Linked DNA regions of Arabidopsis thaliana. The protein of the gene in region 1 interacts with the protein of each later gene in a pairwise test. Each region holds a gene or a part of one and is shown on either strand. Other genes may lie near its edges.

Region 1 (4,831 bases):
ATGCTCAAGAGATCGACTTGGGATGAGTTATCACCAAAGTGGCCAAAGGCATATCCTTATATGCTTTTTTTTCTTTCAATCTCGATGACTATAGTTTGACGCTTCTTAAATTCTAAAAAAAAAAATAGTTTGACGTTTCTAAGACTTTTCTTAACAAATATCCACTTACTGGGATGATTGGCTGAGACTAAAGGAAAACCATAAAGGCCGCCAATTCATTCGACCGGAAGTCTGTAGAACATACAATTTTGGTGAACATGTTAGTACCCGATTATGCTATCCTATATATCATAGTTTTACAAGTCTGTTTTTGTAATGCTGTTAAATTGACCTATGTTCGCTGCATATGACTTCTGCTTTCTGTATGAAAAATGTATTATTGCAGCTTCGTCCTATAGTTTCCCGACACATGGATGTAGACAGTCAATACCACATAATATATTTTTGCATTTCATACTTATCCATAACCTTGTTATATTAATTTGGCAGGGGTCTAGTTTGGGACAGTTTTTCAGTCAGTATCTGGAACCTATAAAGCTAAACGATGTGACGGTAAGCGTAAGTGTGTTTTTTACCCCCTTTTGTTGCATCACTAGTTTTCACTGGTTTCCTATTTCATTCATAAAGGTTGACTGGAAAGCAAAGGACCTGGGATACCTGACAGAGGTAACATTTACAGAACTCCGGCCTTTTTTTTTTATACCATTTTGCATGTTTTGAGTGGAGAAATGTAGTTTTTAACCTGTTCTCTCATGTCTATCAAAGGGAAACTATACCAAGTACTTTTCTGGCTTAGTGAGACAAGCACGACCAATTCAAGGTTCTGACCTTGTCTTAAAGGCTCAAAACATAAAGGATGATGTTCGTATCCGGTATAAAGACCAAGTAGAGTTTGAACGCATTGCAGGGGAATTTGGTATATTTGAAGAATGGAAGGTAAATTTGAGATGATTGAACTATAATCTTCAATAATTGTAGGTCCAAATGGGTCACTTTTTTTGTACCCCTTTGATTGTGTAGGATGGTGTGCCTCGAACAGCATATAAAGGAGTAGTGGTGTTTCGAATCCAGACAACAAGACGTGTATTCCTGGTTGGGCCAGATTCTGTAATGCAGCTTGGAATTCGAAATTCCTGATGCAAAACATGTACTTCTCCAACCAGCATCATTTACATCTTAACCATTGCTTACAGTTCTGTGCTAACCGGGTTTCACAAGCAGATGAAAGGAAAAGAAGATTTTGGACCGCATGCAGCCTCCTTCTAGCAGCTGTTAGGTTGTATTGTTATTTATGGATGAGTTTGTCGAGCGGTGGGGTTAACTTTAACAGCAAGGAAGCTCTGGTGACCTGGCTGATTGGCTTAGAAGTTATGGGAACCCCTTGAAAGGGTCAGGGTTAAATATATTTCAGTTGTTTTATTAGTGATTATCTTGTGGGTAACTTATACGAATGCAAATCATTCTATGCAGTTTTTCTTCGTCCCACTTGTTTTGGCTTCTCTATTGCTAGTGTACATATCTCTTCAAACATGTACTAAATAATGCGTGTTGCTTCAAAGAAGTAACTTTTATTACATCTTTGGCGAGTAGCCAATCAAGGCACTCGACCCATCTTCTCTGGTATAACCCGTCAACTAGAATCTGAGGCCATGGGATCATTAAAGGTTTGTTCCGATGCGACCAATTGGAGGTCTTGATTTGTCTCATGTGAAGTAGGCCTAAGAAAAGAGCCTTGTGGAGTTCCCCTGCATTTTTAGAATATTCTAATTAAAGAGACAGATCTGTTGATGACTATTAATCAAAGATATCTTCTTCTTTTGTTATTTTTAGTCAGGATGTGGAGACGTTGGCGAGAATATTGCAAAACCATGTTCAACAATGTGTATCATCGGATCTGCACCAATCTGACTTAATTTTCATCCATTCTTATCATCTTTGTCTGGTACACATCCATCTCTTCCTCTAATTCCCCTGTTTTGATGTCTCTCCTTATTATTGCGATTTCTTTATGCTAAATTCGTATAATGTTTCAGATCTTGCTATGGGACTTGCTCTGTTTTCCTCTGATGGCAAACTAATTTGGAAGGGGAGGTGAACTAACTTGGTAAGGGATTTGTTTGATGGGCAATTCTTTACAAGCCAAACCACTTCTAATACATTTTGTCTTTCAACGATTTGTTTCAGCACACAAACTGGCAAAAGACGCCCCCAGGAAGAAGCCACAATGAAGCACAGCGGTGGGAACCAAGCCTGCTATGTTCTTGGTCAAAAGACCCCAAGCATCCGAGATCTCTACTCGTTGGGACACAAACTAGGTCAAGGACAGTTTGGGACGACTTACATGTGCAAAGAGATCTCAACAGGGCGTGAATACGCATGCAAGTCTATAACAAAACGAAAGTTGATATCAAAGGAAGATGTGGAAGACGTACGCAGGGAAATTCAAATCATGCACCATCTGGCTGGCTACAAGAACATTGTCACCATTAAAGGTGCTTACGAGGATCCATTGTATGTTCACATCGTGATGGAGCTTTGCTCAGGTGGGGAATTGTTTGACAGAATTATCCAGAGAGGACATTACAGCGAGAGAAAAGCAGCTGAGCTGATAAAGATCATCGTTGGTGTTGTTGAGGCTTGCCATTCGCTTGGTGTCATGCATAGAGATCTAAAGCCCGAAAATTTCTTGTTGGTTAACAAGGACGACGACTTCTCTCTCAAAGCCATTGATTTTGGGCTTTCCGTGTTCTTCAAACCAGGTGATAACATCAGCTGCATCATTTGCAACATCTTCAGTCAGAATTTCACACTTGCTACATCATCTGCAACTTTCAGGTCAAATATTCGAGGATGTGGTTGGAAGTCCGTATTATGTTGCTCCTGAGGTTCTGCTCAAGCACTACGGACCCGAGGCTGATGTGTGGACCGCAGGGGTCATACTGTACATATTGGTGAGCGGAGTCCCTCCGTTCTGGGCAGGTATGCACCCAAATGAAACAACTGTGATTAGGCTTCCAAGGTAAAAGATTCTTAAATATTTGTTTTGCTTCAACTCCAGAAACACAGCAAGGGATATTTGATGCAGTGCTGAAGGGACATATTGACTTTGACTCCGACCCTTGGCCCCTAATATCCGACTCTGCAAAAAACTTGATCCGTGGCATGCTATGTTCCCGGCCCTCTGAGCGACTGACAGCTCATCAAGTATTGCGTAAGTCTAACCAGTTGCTCCTATTTCAGGTCCTGAATTAGTGTATCTGCTAGCTTATTTAGAATTTTGCAGGCCATCCTTGGATCTGTGAAAATGGAGTTGCGCCAGACAGAGCACTAGATCCTGCTGTGCTTTCTCGTCTTAAACAGTTCTCTGCGATGAATAAACTAAAGCAGATGGCTTTACGGGTAAGCCCCCGGCCGCAAGCCTTTTGGCCTTTATTGTGAACAATTTTCCATAAATGTCTTCTGCTGTGATTCAGGTAATAGCTGAGAGTCTCTCGGAGGAAGAAATTGCTGGACTGAAGGAAATGTTCAAAGCAATGGACACGGATAACAGTGGAGCGATTACGTTTGACGAGCTGAAAGCCGGGTTGCGAAGATATGGTTCAACCCTCAAGGATACTGAGATTCGTGACCTTATGGAGGCTGTAAGCACTTTGCTCTGATCTGATCTGTGTGAGTACCTGCTTGAAATCAGTATGTTTAGTATTAATCTGTGACTGTGATTTACCAGGCAGATATTGACAAGAGTGGGACCATAGATTATGGTGAATTCATTGCTGCAACAATCCATCTGAACAAATTAGAGCGTGAAGAACATCTTCTGTCAGCCTTCAGGTACTTTGACAAAGATGGGAGCGGTTACATCACTATCGATGAGCTACAGCACGCATGTGCTGAACAGGGAATGAGTGATGTCTTTCTAGAAGATGTGATCAAGGAAGTCGACCAAGACAATGTGAGTGACTTATGCATACATATCCTCTGGCTTGGAGAGTACATGGTCAAAGGCCAGGGATCATTTTTTTCTTCTTGTTTCAGGATGGAAGGATTGACTACGGGGAGTTTGTAGCTATGATGCAGAAAGGCATTGTTGGAAGAACAATGAGGAAAAGCATAAACATGAGCATCAGGAACAATGCCGTCTCGCAGTGAGAAGCAAGCAATCTCACGATTATGTACAGGTTAAGCCTTTCTCACTTTTTCAAGGTAAATTCCATCAAATTCTTTCCCAAACTGACAAGTCTATACATCGGTGTACGTGAAACAGTCGTTTTTGATAGAGCTGAACGAAGATATGCAAAAGCTACAAAGCTCTGCAGAAATATGGTTCCCATGGTCTGGATCCTTCCCGGTAAAGATTGAATCAACAAAGGCTCTGCATTCTAAAACGAACTGATATGTATTATTAACAGATAAACTGAATCAAACATCAGTATAGGAAGTCATATGAGATTATTGTAATTTGACTTATGTGCACACATCCTACAAAGAAAATTATAAGAATGATCTGTGGAGATTTAAACGATTATTGATCATACATCTGATAGAGCAGTCTCTCTCCCCATTGTTACCTCCTGCGCAAAGTAAAAGAGATAGAATAATGACCACAAGTTGCAAGGAGAAGAGTATGTAGTTGTCAACAAAGAAGATTATTGGTTACCTTTAGCTTAGAATCGCTAGAGAAGACGCAGCTGGATGTGATAGCATGGCCTGGCTCAAAGACCCATCCTACTGAAAATACTCTTTCGCGGTCTTTGCCTTGTTGGAGTGAGCACCACAGCTCTTGCGGAAGCAATAAAAGATCATTTTCTTCTCTCACAATCTCAATCACCTT
Region 2 (5,430 bases), about 17 Mb from region 1:
GTTTTATGTGGTTCAATAACGCAAAGGCTATAGCGATGTATGTTTGACGCCTGTACCGCATCAAATTGAGTTTGCATACTCTTTGTAGTCTTCTTGGTTTTGGAATTTAGACCCATTTTAAACAAATTGCCAAATCATCTTCGTTTATTATTATCTCACTCTAAGATTCATGTGAAATTGTAATAAAAACAAAACTTTTATCTGTTACTTCAAAAGACACAAGATTTTCCAAACTTTACTCAAAAAATAAATTTGGCAGAATGATTTAATGAATCACATGAAATAATCATATCAATAACTTTAATTCTTCGATGAGTTTTTTTTTTGGCTATATTTTTCCAAAACTAACAATATTAATAAAAGTTGTATTTTGTCTTCACTAATCAATGCAAAATGTAAACATGCAAGTTTAAATTGATACATGTTCTGTCCAAAGTGTATATATCTTAGCATTTGAGATTTGGAAGTTAAAATTGTACACGTACCACTAAAAAAAAGAAGCACAATTCATGGTACTTTCTCCTAAAATATTTGCTTTATGTTTCTAGTGTTATCAAACAAAGGATGGTTACTAGATCAAACTAATAATATTATTTGATAATTAATTATACTACTCCAAAGTCATACAAAATAAATAATAATACAAGGGGTGACAAATTACAAATACTTGTTTTTTCTTCAATTTGAACACAACTCAACAAGGTCCCACAACTTCCCACTACTACTACTACTAATAAATAACACCCTTCAAGCTCCTTCCTCAACCTCCCACTAAAGTCTTGAAAACAAAAAGTTGCTTTCATCAAAGTCCACCTAAAATAAAGGTACAATGATTACAATAATACTTGATCAATTGAGCTTTTTGACATTTTTTTTCCCTCTACTGCAAATCCTACATTGATTCCATCTACAAAGCCTTTTTCACTTTTTTACCTTTCAAGTGGGTGAGAGAGGAGAGAAGAAACCAGAGTCATTAGAGCAGAAGAAAAACCCATGTTGGACAGTTGGATTAGCTGTACAAACTCTTTATTGCAGAAATCCTACTGTGGAGGATTGTTCTCAGGCTTGACCACTGAAGATGTATCCGGAGGTTGAGAATGGTAAATTGCCATTGCCAATGAGATTGGCATCATACAAAGAGCCTTTGATTGAAGAAGCTGCATCGCGGCTCCAACGTTCTCTTCCATCAGTTTAGCCACTTGACGTTCAGTCCCATCGTTAGACCATTTCTCCCACGCTGGTTGCGGAGTCCTTCCACCCTCACCCGTTTCATCCTATTGACATTTTAAGCAAAATCTGAATCAAAACCCCATTACTAAAGTTTTTACTTTTTGTTCTTAAAAAGTTTTTACCTCAACTGATGATGAAAGAGGCATATCAGTAACAAGTGGAGCAACCGCACCGGCTCCACCAAGTCGGCTCATGCTCAAAACCTACCAAAGTTGACAAAGAGAAACAGATATCATTGAAAGTGATAAGCTTCACCCCATGAAAATTATATATATAAAAAAAGCTTTTACTTTTAGATGAGCATGGAAGATTTCACAAGAAACACATTTTCTATTTTTAAAACAAAAGATGTATTATCTTATCAGAAATCCATCATTGCATTCTGTTTCTTTAGTGTCTCCATTATCTTATAAAGTAAAGAGACTTCCTTTTTTCGCTTGCGAGAGCTTTAAGTAACCGACTGCATTTTGATATAAGAAGCATTTGATGATCTACCAGATTACTATATTATAATGTGAACATGATGATTGTAATTATTGTTGAATATGGTATTATAATCATAAACTGTGATTAGGCTCCCTATGACAAAACAAAAAGTGAAAAGAGACTAAATGCCAAAGAAAACAAAAGCATTTTGGACTTGTTTATTCTTTCCCACATTAAATAACTGATCTAATCAGATTGAAATTTGGTTGAAGGGTAGGTAATGGTGGGACCAGAATTAACACCAAAAATCCATCCAGAGAATTTGAAAGACATGATCTTTAGATCTCTAATCTTATGAACAAACAGATTAAACATATTGCATAGGGAGTAATAAGATAATTCACAAGAAAGAGAGTTCGAGTTTAAAACTGCAGAAGAGAGAAGAATATACCTTGACTTGGAGCCTGAGAAACTTTACATAATCGACAATCTCATCGATCATAGCAGCTCTATCGGTCTGCACACGAAGACGGGAGAAACAGAAAGTGTCAAACTTTCTAGAGAAATTATATACAGGTGAGGGTTAGGGTGAAAGGTACAGACCTTGTTCACAGTAGGTACAAGTTCCTGCAGCGCCCTGATCCGTTCTGCTATTCTTTCTCTACGTAGCTGTGGTAAAGTAAAACAAACTTTTAGGTAATCCCTCCATAAAATCAAGAGATCATTACACAATGTTAACATTTTTTTATATCCGAAACATATTTTCAACTACAACCAACTCGCCACCAACATAGTATATCACAGGGAAATACAAAAGAGAATCTGAAATATACCCGCTCAGCGATGCTATGTGGATCAGTAGCCTGACCACGCCTAGCTCGAACCCTGGGACGGATTGAAGTAGGCTGATGTGGGGCCGATGGAGGTGGCTGTTGCATAGGCTGCCCGTGGAAAACCTTCCAGACAACACACAGAAGAAATAAGACCAAACGAAAATAAACCATTTGCACAAGGATTTGACTCCATTAGTTGTAAGAGAATAATTTAAGTTAGACCCTTAAGATTACTCATTTGACCAACTTAGAAGGCAAGATAAGCCACGCAGCTACATGAACTAGTGAGAAGTTGCTCATAGAGTAACAAGAGCTAACCTTAGTTTACTAAACAAACCAAAATCGATTAGATTCAACAAGTCTGAGCCAAAATAAAGCACATAACGCAAATCATCAACTTTGTTAAAGTTACTTACCACAAATCAAAAACTAAAACAAAAGTTACCAAAAATGTTCTCTTCAAAACCCTCAAATTCGATTTCTTCCCATTTCTAATAATCAAACACCAAAGCAAGAACAGAACTTACAGGTTTCATAGAAGAACATCGATTATCAACAACATCATCTGAGAATCTTTTCCCACTTCCATGTCCTCCTTCAGGTCTAAGAAACCCAGGTCCTTTCCCTTGATCAAGACTTAACCCCAAAGGAAACATCTGATTGTGAAACCCAGTTGGTCCACTTCCTCCTAAGCCACCCATGTGACTTCCTTCTTCTCCGGAACCCAACTGCAGCATCATAGGCGGTGCTCCACCACCTAATCCTCCGTCAACTCCAGATAAACCGGCGGCAGAAGAGGCTGAGAAGTTAGGAAGGCCGAGGATTTGCTCGAAGAAATCATCAGAAGGAGTTTGGTCAGAAAGGTTGTCGTGAGGGTTGTTACTAGCCATGGTTTGAGCTAAAGACAGAGACTTTGACTCGAACGAGTCACTGTGAGTTACGATTAACGAGTTAGGAACCTTCAAAGAGAGATTTACATGCGAAAGCTACAGATTTTTTTAATCTATTTTGGGTTGATGAAATTTTGATGCTTTAAAACGAATGAGGACGAAGAAGACAGAGACGAGAAAGGAGCAGAAGAAAAGTGAAAACTTTATGCTCTGTTTATAAAAAAAATATCCTTTTTGGTAAAAGACCTTACTTTTTCAGATTATTTCGTTTTTGCCATTTTCTTATTTTCCTTCCAGAAACAAAATAAAAATATATAAATGGGCTGGATTTTATATCATATTTGGGTCTTCTTTCTCTTCTTCTAAATATGGGCCTTCAATTCAGTCTTTGTTTTTTTCTTTATGGGTTAAAGTCTTCTTTAGTTTTCCTTATAAATTACGTTAAACCTCTAACAATTAATTTATAGAGGTATTAATTATTAGTAAATTAATAATTAATAATTTCTTTAACATTATTTTTTGCTTATGTTTTAATGTTTACTTGATTTTTTTATTAAAATAGTTTCTTTGTTTTTGTTTATGTTTTTAACTATTATAATAGTTGTAGTCAAACATAATTTAGTAATCTTTTTAATTAATTTTGAAAATATATGATATACTTATAATTGCCACTAGATATTATATAATTTGAATTGATGTATTTGGAAATTGGAAAAATACACTGAGACCAAACATTTGCGATTTTATACGGCCGAAGCGGTCGTTTAGGTGTTACGAAAGTGGAAATGGTGCGTCGTGGAATTGCACTGAAATCATCCCCACATATCTCCTCCCGCCTCTAATAGCTTCTGGTTCTTTCCGTTCTCATATATCTAGCAGATCCACTACCTATCTACCATGACGCCAAGTAGTGACGGTACTGTCCGTCGTACTTATTGCTCTCTATTTTTAGAACATGACGAATGAATTGTAGTTATCTATTATTGTATCCCTCCTAATTCTAATTAATGTATTCAACTATTAGAATGTATTGAAAAAATCGCTTATTTTTCTGTTTGTAAGTTAAATTTTCCTATATCACTTATTGAGATGTTTACATAATTCAAAAACGTCACATAATTATCTTGCGAGATATAATCAAATTCGAGATATGCGCTAAGCAAACAAGCTCCAAATAAAGTATTTCAAATTCAAAAGAGACAATTTAGTTTCCTAGAAAATGTTTTCTCTCTTCTATCACAATTCAGGTTGATTCCCAAGCTTGTCGATATGGAAGATTCTGTTTGCTAGCTTATCAATCTCAGCGACTCCTCTCTCTAATTTGAGTCTACACCAACAAAAACTAAAGGGTTCACATCATTATGCCTAAATGGAGCTCATTTATAAAGGAACAACTTGTGCTTAAGGAGGTAATTCTCAGACCAAACACGAACATCCAACATAAGAAGTAATAAAAGCTAAGAAAAACAGTTATTTACAAAAATCAATAAATAAAACAAGTTTTGTTTTGGATGAAAAAAAAAAAAAAAAAAAAACAAGTTTTGTTTTGATAATATATTAACACAAAAAAAATCAGTTAATCAACTTAATAGTTTAATATATTAATTATTATCCCTTTAAGAATTTTTTTTTCTAATGCCCTTTTCATGATGCCCTTTTTCAACTTTACCCTTTTGTTTTATCCAATTTTATTTCTACCCTCTTTAAATTTTTAATGACCATTTTACCCTTATTTGGAAATTGTTTTAGGTTAACAAAATGAAAAATTAATATTTTTTCGCCAAAAATATTCCAAAATAAATTTCCCGCCAAAATTTGTTTTCAAACATATTTTTCCCGCCAATTTTTTTTTTTTGGCGGGAAATAGATTTACAAGGGATTTTAAAAGAGTTTTAAAAGATTTACAAGGGATTTTATAGGGGTTTTATAAGATTTACAAGGGATTTTAAAAGGGTAATTTACAATAGATTTTAAAGGGATTTCAAAAATTTACAAAAGTCTTTTAAAGATTTTTAAAGGCTTTAAAATTGTTTTAAAAAATTTTAAAATAT
Region 3 (3,419 bases), 5.0 Mb from region 1:
GGCTTCAGCTTGATCGTCTTAGCAGGCTCGGACTCGGGCTCGGGCCCAGAACTGGACTCCGATTCAGATTCGCCTTCAGAGTCAGATTCAGGCTTTTGCGAAGACTCGACTTTCTTCGGAACTTCAGCAGAAGATTCAGATTCTTCTCCAGATGAGCCAGATTCTTCTTCTTCACTGGAAACAGGAGGGCTTTCGACCACTTCCTCCGCCTTCTTCGGTGCCATCGAACAAACAGTTACGAGAGAGAGAGGAGACAGAGATCTGCGGTTCTATTTTCCCGTCGCCGTCGATTTGCTTTGCTCTTAGGTTTAGGTTAATGTCGAGGTTCTGTTTTTTGTTTTTTGCCCTACTTTTGTTTTTTTAATAAAAGTCGATCGATTCATTCAAGTTGGGCTGTCCAACGCGCTATTCTACTCGAACGGGCCTAACACTTTTACGCGTTATTAATAGACCAGTCCGTCGACAACTTACGCAGCCTCAGAATTCGTCTTAAAGTCTTCCTAGTTCCTAGTCTACAGAAAATTTTAAACCCAAATACGTTCCATAAGCTCCAGTCTCATAACCACAAAGGCATGTAAACCGACCGAGTTAGCTAAAAGAATACACGATTAGGAACTTATTTAATTAGTGCTTTGATTTGGAATGCAAATTTTGGTTTAAGCAAGACAAAAAACCACCGTCTCAAGAAAGAAACATATAACCTTTTAGTCTTTAGAGACTACATGACTCAACATCGACCGTGCCAAACTACACACACTTCTTATTCAAAGACCTATCAACAAAACTAGAACAGAAAAAAACGTCGACGTTTTTAGTTGATCTCGATCTGACGAACATCATTTCTCTCTTGTTCTTTCATCTTCGGGATCACAACTTTCAACACTCCGTTCTTCATCTCCGCCTTAATCTCATCGATCTTGTAAATCTTATCCGGTAATCCAATCCTGCTTGTGAATCTCCGATTACCGCTCTCTCCTTCCTCGCCACCATCTTCCTCGTTTTTTCCTTCTCCTCTAATCACCAGAGTGTCCTGCTCCAAAGCCAGCTTCACATCCTCTCTGCTCAGCCCAGGCATGTCGATTCTCAGGTACAGAGCATCGTCTTTCTCTTTTATATCCCAACCACGACGAGCTCCTGAAGCTCCCATGCCACGAGTAGCTGATAACAGAGGATTCTCCATGAACTGGTCCATCAGATTCAGCACTTGACTAACGCTCCTCGTCGGCGAAAACGGATCAAACACATCTACACAAAGACACAATCAATCATGTCAAGATTTTGAGCTCAGTGTAAGCTAATACCTGTTTTCTTACTAGATTTTCGCTACGTTAACAACAGAGAGACATAGATCTGGAGGAAAAGCGAAACAATTGGTTTGTTACCTGAGAAGAAATCACCACGGCGGCGAGGAACAGAGCGGCGATATAAATCAACGCCGTCTCCATTTTCGCCGTCGTCGTCGTAGCTCCTAACGGCGTTGGTGTTGAAGAGGCGAGAGGAAACAGCTGGACGAAGAACACTACGGGAACGTGGAGCGATGGAGGATGATAGGAGTCTCTTAAGAGCGAGAGCAGATGCCATTTGTAGAGAAACAGGAAGCTTTGTTGAGAAAGTTTTAACAGTGAGTTTAGTATTTATCTGAGAACTGTGTGCGACGAAACTGGAGACAGGGGAGGACTATATACAGGAGTTAAGTGTTGAAGGTGGGATATTGTCAGTGAGTGAATGTTCTGGAGAAGTGGGGAGATTGATATTTCTCTGGATGTTTCTAGAGATCCGTGGCTCCCAAGCTAAGTGAAACAAATATAAATTGTCTTGTTTATTAACGGGCTACGGCCCATCGGTATTAGGCCTGTTTTAGTAGATTTATGGTCAACAAGTCAAATGACCCTAGAACATGGTACATGAATGAAAAGGACCAAAATGTGGACAGAAATCAACCAAAGGCCGAGGCGGCCACCAACCACCGAACGTGGGAAGGTCTGGTTCGGGCAAACATTCGAAAAGACCAAGAAGACTCGGATAAACAATTAAAAAAATCAGATATTGGAGAAGGCAAATATATATTGGTGTTGAGGTCAAGACTTAGAGTTTTGACGTTATTTAAAAAAAAATATTTTTGGGTAAAGACTAAAGAGTTTGACGCTATCTTGAGGTTTATTTATTCAACGTAGACTATATACTATGGGGCCGTTCTGAATTGGACCTTTTAAGTTTTGATTTTATTAAAACGCCATGTTGTTTAGTCGAGAGATAAACAAAAGACGTGTCTCTAGCTAAGCTGACCTTCATATATGCTTTGACATAATACATTAATTATAATCTCTCTTTTTGGTGTGTGTAAAAAATACACTCTATATTTTATTATGTAGACACACTACATGCAGAAGTGTTCTTACCTCTGCCTCTACGTGCTGTCAACTCCTACAGATCTTCAAGTACCCCAACCGTTATCTAACAGATTAAATATAATATACCCCTAACTATATTATATATCACAATTGTTCAAACCAGTGTATATAGACTAGACGATTCCTTGAACCATATAATTCCAGCTTTACTATAAGAGTCTTAAGGACAGGGGCAAGTGAGTCGAGAAACGAAACCGAATATAAGTCTTGTATGATATAGTCATATAGTTAACCGTCGTCATATATTAAAGAAGAAAATGGCAACCACCGGTCGGAGACTCCGTCCTCCATCGCCCAATAATAACCGGAGCCGGACTATAAGCTCTTCAATCTCTCTCCCAGTGTCCTTAAACGCCTCGTTATCGTCTTCTACTTCTTCATCTTCTTCCTCTTCGCCTTCCAATTCAAGCAAACGAGTGATGATAACCAGATCACAGTCCACAACAAGATCCTCCAGACCCATCGGATCATCCGACTCTAAATCCGGCGAGAACATAATCCCGGCGAGAAACAGCGCATCAAGATCTCAAGAGATAAACAACGGTAGAAGCAGAGAGTCGTTTGCTCGGTACTTGGAGCAACGTACGCGTGGTAGTCCTCGTAGTAACGCTTCATCGAGAGGGGTAAAGCCGGGAGCCAGCTCACCATCGGCGTGGGCGTTGTCTCCTGGAAGACTTTCGACTATGAAGACGCCTCTGTCCAGCTCAGCTCCGACGACTTCAATGTGCATGACGCCGCCTGAGTCACCCGTAAGCAAGGCCAAGATAAGAAGCGGTGGCGGTGGAGCGGTGGCAGGAGTTTTGAAGTACTTCATGGCGCAGAAGAAAGTATCTCCGGTACAAGAGGAGGATTATCACCGGTTTAGGATTTTTCAAAACAGATTACTTCAATGGAGGTTTGTTAACGCAAGAACTGAAGCCACTATGGCAAACCTTAAGATCAACGTTGAGGTACAAAAACTATATGAAAAATATTTAAATTTGTATCTTATAAATATCTATTAATTTG

What was found. The genes of interacting proteins can lie anywhere in the genome.
Region 2: the proteins of CPK26 (region 1) and UNE12 interact in a two-hybrid assay, tested with the Arabidopsis thaliana proteins (one large-scale study listed by BioGRID).
Region 3: the proteins of CPK26 (region 1) and HSP23.6-MITO interact in a two-hybrid assay, tested with the Arabidopsis thaliana proteins (one large-scale study listed by BioGRID).

What each region holds. Positions count from the first base shown.
Region 1 is NC_003075.7:17,928,312-17,933,142, reverse strand, and holds CPK26 (calcium-dependent protein kinase 26), read left to right. Parts: upstream 1-1,640; 5' UTR 1,641-1,942; intron 1,943-1,960; exon of another isoform or gene 1,961-2,033; 5' UTR 2,034-2,041; coding exon 2,042-2,091; exon of another isoform or gene 2,092-2,104; intron 2,105-2,184; coding exon 2,185-2,759; intron 2,760-2,835; coding exon 2,836-2,979; intron 2,980-3,058; coding exon 3,059-3,211; intron 3,212-3,283; coding exon 3,284-3,399; intron 3,400-3,473; coding exon 3,474-3,641; intron 3,642-3,727; coding exon 3,728-3,952; intron 3,953-4,035; coding exon 4,036-4,149; 3' UTR 4,150-4,178; intron 4,179-4,241; exon of another isoform or gene 4,242-4,264; 3' UTR 4,265-4,326; downstream 4,327-4,831. Other genes in the region: CGL1 (alpha-1,3-mannosyl-glycoprotein beta-1,2-N-acetylglucosaminyltransferase), read left to right, coding at 1-50, 166-259, 490-552, 628-666, 766-936, 1,021-1,137; AT4G38225 (glycerol kinase), read right to left, coding at 4,361-4,372, 4,536-4,571, 4,658-4,831. UniProt on the Arabidopsis thaliana protein: May play a role in signal transduction pathways that involve calcium as a second messenger.
Region 2 is NC_003075.7:1,136,928-1,142,357, forward strand, and holds UNE12 (basic helix-loop-helix (bHLH) DNA-binding superfamily protein), read right to left. Parts: upstream 3,614-5,430; 5' UTR 3,380-3,613; coding exon 3,017-3,379; intron 2,613-3,016; coding exon 2,490-2,612; intron 2,326-2,489; coding exon 2,260-2,325; intron 2,174-2,259; coding exon 2,108-2,173; intron 1,434-2,107; coding exon 1,353-1,433; intron 1,275-1,352; coding exon 1,041-1,274; 3' UTR 560-1,040; downstream 1-559. UniProt on the Arabidopsis thaliana protein: Required for ovule fertilization.
Region 3 is NC_003075.7:12,915,251-12,918,669, reverse strand, and holds HSP23.6-MITO (mitochondrion-localized small heat shock protein 23.6), read right to left. Parts: upstream 1,745-3,419; 5' UTR 1,582-1,744; coding exon 1,383-1,581; intron 1,246-1,382; coding exon 812-1,245; 3' UTR 560-811; downstream 1-559. Other genes in the region: AT4G25210 (DNA-binding storekeeper protein-related transcriptional regulator), read right to left, coding at 1-224; QWRF7 (QWRF motif protein (DUF566)), read left to right, coding at 2,669-3,361.